Callithrix jacchus: one gene and its partner. The protein of the gene in region 2 purifies or fractionates together with the protein of the main gene of each other region. This does not show direct contact. Links are inferred from orthologs where the notes say so. Each region holds a gene or a part of one and is shown on either strand. Other genes may lie near its edges.

Region 1 (3,822 bases), on a different chromosome or scaffold from region 2:
GATGGGTCAAGAATTAGAACTTGTTACTCTCCTTAATACAACCTCACATCTCATCAATAAAATACATTTTGAATGTGCTTAACTTATGCACCTCATAGTAAACACCTCTCAGCTTTTGGAGTAAAACCTTCAAGTTTTCAAAATCTCATTTTTGGTTCATTAATAATTGGCCTGCTCTTATAAGAAAAAGTTAGCTTTGGGAGAAAAAAACTCTTTCTAAATAAAGCTGCACTTCCATTTCCACCCTCTACAATCTTCAGAAATAGATTTGTGGTGTACTACAGTTAGGTAAAAAGTTAATGACAAAATAAAGCACCATCTTTAGCATGATAGAAACATGGTGTTTCTCAGACATTCTACATTTTTAAAAACTATTTTGAAATGTTGTATTTCTGGCATACAGTTCACAAATGAATTATAAGGATGTTTCCCGAATTTCCCAATAGAGACTTGGAGAGAATCATCCTTGCCATCTGAAGCAGCAGCACAAATCAGCCCCCATTGTAACCTGAGGACCCCATGCAGCCCAGGCTCTTGGCCCCACTAACCGTTGTCCTTTGTGGTCTCTGCCTCGGCTGCCTCCTCTAATCCTGTTGTTTTTAGTTTCACCTCTGGGCCATATTCACTATCCTGCTCATTGGAAGGTGCAGCTGAAGTGATGTTTTCTTCTATTATTTTCCTTTCAGCTTCTCGCTCCAATTCTTCTATCTCCTGCAGGCGTTTTTCCAATAACTCAGCCTGCCTCTTCTGTTTCTTTTTCAGTTTTTTCTTTTTGTTTTTAGATATTTTTCCTATCTATAACATGTTAAGAAAAGACCACAGGTCAGTTTTCTTCTTTTTAAAGCACACATGATAGTATAACTGCTGGCAGCATGGCAACTAACAAAAAACTCCGCTTTCTCATGCCATATTCTACTAAAATCCCAAACCCAGACATCCACCTCATGGTAAGGCTTATGGTAAAATCAAAGGGAAAGCAGTGCTGACTGATATCACATGCTAGGTCTACTACCAGGTCCTGCCCTCAGAGGGATACAGCTTAAATCCAGTAAGCCTTCACCATTCAAACTCTCAGAGAACTGAAGTCCAAAATTCTCTTGGCCTTAGAGAAGCTCCTCTTGGAAGTTTTATTTGCTGCCCTCTATATACAAAATAACAACATCCCATCTCCTCACTACCAAAAATGAAACAGGTGCCCAAGCAGGTGTATGTCACTGTGTTTGGGTCTCACATATGTCTTGGAAGCTCTTACCAGCCAAGACAACATGAACTGTAAGAGATAAGCCTAAGCAGCAATGTGAAAGAAGAAAAAGCCACAGCTTTTGTTTGCCTCCCATCATGGCCAGCTGACTTGCAAAGCACTGGCAAGGAGAGCCTCCAATCCTTCATACAGTAAACTCAGGTGGCTTGAGCCAGGGAAGAACTATGGGAAACAACTTGGGCTCCTCAGCAAGCCAGGAAGCCTAATTATTACAGCTCCCTCTTGTTCCAGAACTTACGTTCCAAATCAAGGGTTGTCTCAGTAAACATAGTGTTTTCTTGTTATTTTGTTTTTTGTTGTTGTTTTCTTTTTCTTTGAGATGGGGTCTTGTTCGGTTGCATAGGCTGGAGTGCACTGGCGTGACTTTGGCTCACTGCTACCTCCATTTCCTGGGTTCAAGTGTTTCTCATGCCTCAGCCTCCCATGTAGCTGGGAGTACAGGTACATGCCATCATGCCCGGCTGATTTTTTTTTTTGAGACAGAGTCTCACTCAGTCACCCAGGATGGAGTCCAATGGCCTAATCTCAGCTCATTGCAACCTCCCCCTCCTGGGCTCAACAGATTCTCCTGCCTCACCCTCCTGAGTAGCTGAGATTACAGGCATCCGCCAGCACACTCGGCTAGTTTTTGCATTTTTTGGTAGAGACAGGGTTTCACCATGTTAGCCAGGGTGGTCTCGAAGTCCTGACCTCAAGAGATCTGCTGGCCTCAGCCTCCCAAAATGTTGGAATTACAGGTGTCAGCCACCACACCTGGTACCTAGTACTGACATAGTGTTTTGACAGGACTACAAACTATCTCTTTCTTATTTAACATCTGGCTGGAAAAAAATTAGAACAACAGCTTCGGAAAAGGTAACTTAGCAGCCAATCAGAAATAATATAAAGTGGTTTTGAAATAAAAGTGCTTCAACTCCACCACCTCACATTTCATTAGACTTGGCCAACCGTAGTCCAGAAAATGCATAAAGAAGACAATCATTGAAAGGCTCTAACCATTCCAATTCTGCAGAGATCCCTAAAACTTAACGAGACAGGCCAGGTGTGATGGCTCATGCATGTAATCTCAGAACTTTGAGAAGCCAAGATGGGAAGATCACTTGAGGTCAGGAATTCGAGACCAGCCTGACCAACATGGTGAAACTCCATCTCTACTAAAAGTACAAAAATTAGCTGAGCATGGTGGTGGGTGCCTGTAATCCCAGCTACTCGGAAGGCTGAGGCAGGAGAATCGTTTGAACCTGGGAGGGGGAGGCTGCAGTGAGCCAAGATCGCAACACTGCATGCCAGCCTGAGCAGTAATGCAAGACTCAGTCACATACACACACAAAATCCAAAAAACACTTAACAAGACAGTAAGTCTTAAATATTTGAGGATACACAGCATTTATAAATGTGTCTACCCTTTAAATTAATATATACTACCACTTTTTAATAATTTGAACTGCTCAAACAGTTTCTTTTGCCATGGTGCATAAAAGTAATATGCGTTAAGTACTTACAGGTTTCTGCTGTGGAGCCGTACTCACTAAAATAAAATGAAACAAAATTGGTATTTAGCAGAAAACAGACACATACCTTCATGCAGGTCATTTGGATTGCAAAATGACATAATTATTATCTTTTAATGACTATCCAACTTCACAAACATATTAATCAGAGCTTCGTAATCACTGGGATCTAGAGAAAGTTTATGCAACTGAAACAAACAACGGACTCTTAAAATGCATAGCAGAAAAGTTGTTCATACTGAGCCATTTCTTTTATTTATCTAAAATGAAATACTAATACATCTCAAAAACAGTCAATCCCAAAGCACCAACAGATAGCTTAAGAAAATGGAAAATAATTCATACATATCACAGTCATTAAACCAAATTTGTTATAAATAAAATGAAATAAACAATTTAGATTAGATGTACATTTATATTTGAAATCTATTTTGCAAGCTTTCTACAATTTAAATCAAATACTGCAGTTGGTATGCAGCTAATATTCTAGAAATCACATGATTAAACCCTATCAGGGCCATAAGTTTGACAGTCTGGGTCCATGATCTAAACAACACCTGCAGTAGAGGAGATGTGAAGAGAGCCCCAGGCAGTCTCCAGAGTCTCAGCCCTTTACTATCTATGCTTGCCTGACAACACAAGGGCACAGACAATGTTGAAGATCCACAAAAGCACAGTCCACATTTCACTGCACCCCCACCAGAAATAAAGATATGCCAATACTCAGGTCACTTGGTCTTCTTCCCCCACCATCAGGCCTTTTCTAACTAACTCCAAATCCACTGATAAAACTCAGATTGACGTAGCTATGACAAATGGACAATAGGAATTACTGTAACATAACTGAAGCTAGAAAAATATTCTGATGACTAAAAGTCAGCTCCAGGAAAGCTGTTATTATGTTCTCCTCTGCAGAGAAGTGGGCAACAGAAAAAACTGTTCCAATATTAATGAAGCAGCAACTACAAATTTAAATGGCAAGTAATTCAAATATTAAAATATAATGTACCTGGGGCATTTTCCATCTCAAGAAAAGGGTGTAGTTATTTC
Region 2 (3,822 bases):
GAATAAGACATGACTTAAAACAACAAATTTTTGTTTGGTAGATTTAATCTTATTATGTATTTATGTACTCAAACCAAACTTTATCATCCAAATTAAGGATAAAAAAGTTAAACCTACCAGGAAAATAACTGATGCCATATTTAAAATAACTTTTCTGTAATTCTAATCCTACTCATTAACTGACATGAAAGTAGAAAAAAACTTCTAAGATTTTGTATTTTAGAAAGGATTTACTCATTAAAAAAAAAAAACTCATATAAGCTTGAATTCTGTTAATCTGGCACATGAAAGTTTATAATAAAGAGCAGCAACCCGCTGCCTGGTTTGAAGCTTCCGTTATCTAGTTTGCAGGCAATTACTCTGCAATAATTACAAAATATTGTAAATATCTACTCACTGTTCCCACCCTGGTCGACCACCACCTGGACGAGCAGTATTTATTCGTACTGGACCTAGAAACAAAAAATCAAAACAGTAAGGTACATATAAAGTTACCTATTAAATCAAGCTAAAATTATTTTTTAAAGTCTAAAAGTGATCTTACTCACCAGTTGTGGGGATCAACTGTCCGTGCAATAATGACTGTCCAAGCAAAGATGGGGTTCCAAGAACAGGCACCTGGTAACCCTTCAGAAACAACCACAAATAAACAGAAATGGTTAAAAAAAAAAAAAAAAAAAAAGAAGAGGTAAAAACAAAACCCTACTATAAAAAAATAAAATTTACCTTCTCTTCCATAAGAGCGGTAATTGCAATTGAGGAGGTTCCCTTTGAGTGCTCTGATGCAAGAGCAGCAGCTGGCAATATTTTATTATCAGAATCCCTTAAAAAATATAAATTACAATACATTAAAAATTATCAGAAATGGACAATTAAGAGTAAAAAAGTTTGTTGCTGTTTATCCATCACCTGCAGTAAGATGAGTCAAAGATGATGACTACTTTTGAGGAACGTGGGAGAGGACTGAAACTTTGAAGAGTTCTCTATATGTAAGTGGAAAAGTATAATGAAGGACCCTCCCTAAGAAGATATGATAGTTATGACAGAAATCAGTTGCAAGAAGAGTAAAACTTAATCAAAGTGTGGCCTATGGAGACAAAAATCCCCCTAGGATTAGGAGTGTTTTAGCTCTAGTTCTATCACTAAACTAAAAGGATAATCTTGGGTCAGCCACAGAACTCTCTGAGCCTATTCCCACTATCAACCAAACAAATTCCACTAGATTAGAATTTCTTAAATGTGTATGTAAAGGTCTCATCCTAAAGATTTTGCTTCATATGTCTGAAATGGGCCTCTGATACCTATTTTTTTTAAAGAATTTACAAGCCATTAAGCTACATGGACAAAAGTCTCATTTCTGAAGTGGTAGGCTTTAATAGTTTTCACTATTCTCCTACATTACTTATGCCCCCAATCACTTTCCTGAGTTCTCTACTTACCTGTTTTTACCCCCTTGTCTCTACCTATCCAAACTGTTCTACTCAAATCTACTCCTATTCAATACCATCACCCAAGTGAATTCTCCCACCTCTGAAGTTCAGAGTTGTTATGGTATACAGTACATTTAACGTTAAACAGGGGCTTGCTGGCAACCTGTGTAGTATTTGACCTTGGCACGCTTAATCATCATTTGCCAAATGAAATCACCTTTATTTTCCTCTTCCCGCAATAAGACTAAGTCATTTCTTACAAGTCATCCCATGTTACTGAACACAGTGGTCCACTAAGAAAGCTATTAAAGTCAGGCGTGGTGGCTCAGGCCTGTAATCTCAGCACTTTGGGAGGCTGAGGTGCGTGGATCACAAGGTTAGGAGTTCAAGACCAGCCTGACCTATATTAAAGTTGCTGCAGTTAAAAAAAGAAAAAAAAGACCAGCCTGAGCAACATGGTAAAACCCCATCTCTACAAAAAATACAAAAATTAGCTGGGTGTGGTGGCACACACCTTGCAGTCCCAGCTACTTGGGAGGCTGAGGCAAGGAATCACTTGAGCCGGGAGACAGAGGTTGCAGTGAGCGAAGATTGTGACACTGCATTCCAGCCTGAGTGACAGAACGAGATTTCCTCTCAAAAAAAAGAAAAAAAAAAAAGAAAGCTATTAAAGTGATACCCAACAACAAAACCTAACATCATTGACCTCATTTGGTTTCTAACAGTGAAAAATACATAGGCTTACCGAAAGGGTCCATCTGATTTTTCTGAATGGACTGAGATGGATACTGTTGCAGTTATATCAGGTACAGGAGCTGGAACAGAAGATGGATTTCCAGAAACAGGAGGGGCCAAGGAAGACTGATTAGAAGTTAATGAAGATATAGAAGGAGTTGGGTGAGTTGATGAAGATGTCACTGGAATCATGAGAGGATCTTGTTGTCTTGATATTGGAGATCTCATCAGAGGTTGTAGGTTTCTCTGAATCAGTGGTCTTGGAGGTGGTATTGGGGGTGGTGGAGGAGGTAACTGTTTTCGTAGTCTTTTTGTATAACCAGTTTCATTTTTGAAGTTATTAACAGCCTAAGGACCAAGCATAATAATGCAGAAAAATATTATGTAGTATTCACTGAAGTACAGTTAAATCAGTTAAAGATTAAAAAGAAATTTTTCATAAAATGGATATAAAAGATAGCTACCTGTCGTAAAAATTTATTGGCAATTAAAGCATCAGGAGAAACATCATTTTGATGACAAGTTGGACATGTATGCTCATCTGATTCCAGGAGTGCTGTTCTTATACCTATGTGTAAGATTTCAAATATTAATAAAAACATGGTAGGAACTCAGTGTTTACAGAATGAATTAAAAGGATGGCCTACAATTGTTCTGTTACATTACTGGTTTCCAAGCACGTCGTGCTACTCATTTCTTAAGTAAAATCTCTTATCTTATAAGTACTCCTCTGCTCTTTTCTCTATGATCTATGCTATGCTAAAAAAAGAGAAGTCATAGCTGGGTGTGGTGGCCTGAGACAGGATGCCACCTTGGGAGGCTGAGACAGGAGAATCACTTGAGTCCCGAAGTTCAAGGCCAGACTTGGGGAAAATAGCAAGGACCTCCACTATTTTTTTTTTTTTCCCTAAAAGGACACATTTAAATAAATGTCTGAACTGAGAGCAAAAGCACTTTCTCAAATACTATTCTTTGTTTAGGTAGTAAATGGAATATTGTAGAAAACAAAATAGAAATATGAGTCAGTCTAGAAAGACAAAACTTTTACATGGCTAACTTGGGGTTTTCATTCAGGCAAGGAAATGAGACCTACAGCACAGCAAGTGAGAGCAACACTAAATTACAGATATGAAGATCATGCTTCAATGTAATAAAGCTCCAGGAATATCAAGTGGTTTGTTAAATCTAAGATATACTCTGAAACAAGTCTTTACCAACTTCTTCTTGACCTTGGCCTTTTCACCGAAGAGGTCAAAAAACAAAGATTTACAGGTATCTGAAGGGGAGAGATTCCAGGACCCTCTGAGGATAACAAAATCTGCAGATGCTCAAGTCCCTCAACTACCTCAAAGGCATAGTATTTGTATATAACTACTATGTACATCTTCCAGCATACTTTAAATAATCTCTAGATTGCTTATAATACCTGCTGCAATATAAGTGCTATGCAAATATTTGTTATACTATATTTTAAAATCTGTATTCGTCTTTACGATTGTATTATTTTTTACTGTTTCTTCCCCCCAAATATTTTTCATCTGTGGTTGGCTGAATCTGCAGGTGCAGAACCATGTGTATGGAGGGCTGTATATTTCAAAACTACCTTTAAGAATGAAAAAAGCCATAGCAGGCTTAAGCAAATTTTCAGATAACACTG

What was found.
Region 1: the proteins of RBBP6 (region 2) and SRPK2 purify together in Homo sapiens (affinity purification with mass spectrometry; 4 studies listed by BioGRID and IntAct, with this or other methods). This does not show direct contact. The link is inferred for Callithrix jacchus from reciprocal best matches to the Homo sapiens genes RBBP6 and SRPK2.

Annotation. Positions count from the first base shown.
Region 1 is NC_133512.1:75,525,588-75,529,409, forward strand, and holds part of SRPK2 (SRSF protein kinase 2), read right to left. Parts: intron 2,790-3,822; coding exon 2,764-2,789; intron 796-2,763; coding exon 549-795; intron 1-548. UniProt on the Homo sapiens protein: Serine/arginine-rich protein-specific kinase which specifically phosphorylates its substrates at serine residues located in regions rich in arginine/serine dipeptides, known as RS domains and is involved in the phosphorylation of SR splicing factors and the regulation of splicing.
Region 2 is NC_133513.1:25,147,760-25,151,581, reverse strand, and holds part of RBBP6 (E3 ubiquitin-protein ligase RBBP6), read right to left. Parts: intron 2,734-3,822; coding exon 2,630-2,733; intron 2,514-2,629; coding exon 2,176-2,513; intron 824-2,175; coding exon 727-823; intron 628-726; coding exon 549-627; intron 453-548; coding exon 398-452; intron 1-397. UniProt on the Homo sapiens protein: E3 ubiquitin-protein ligase which promotes ubiquitination of YBX1, leading to its degradation by the proteasome.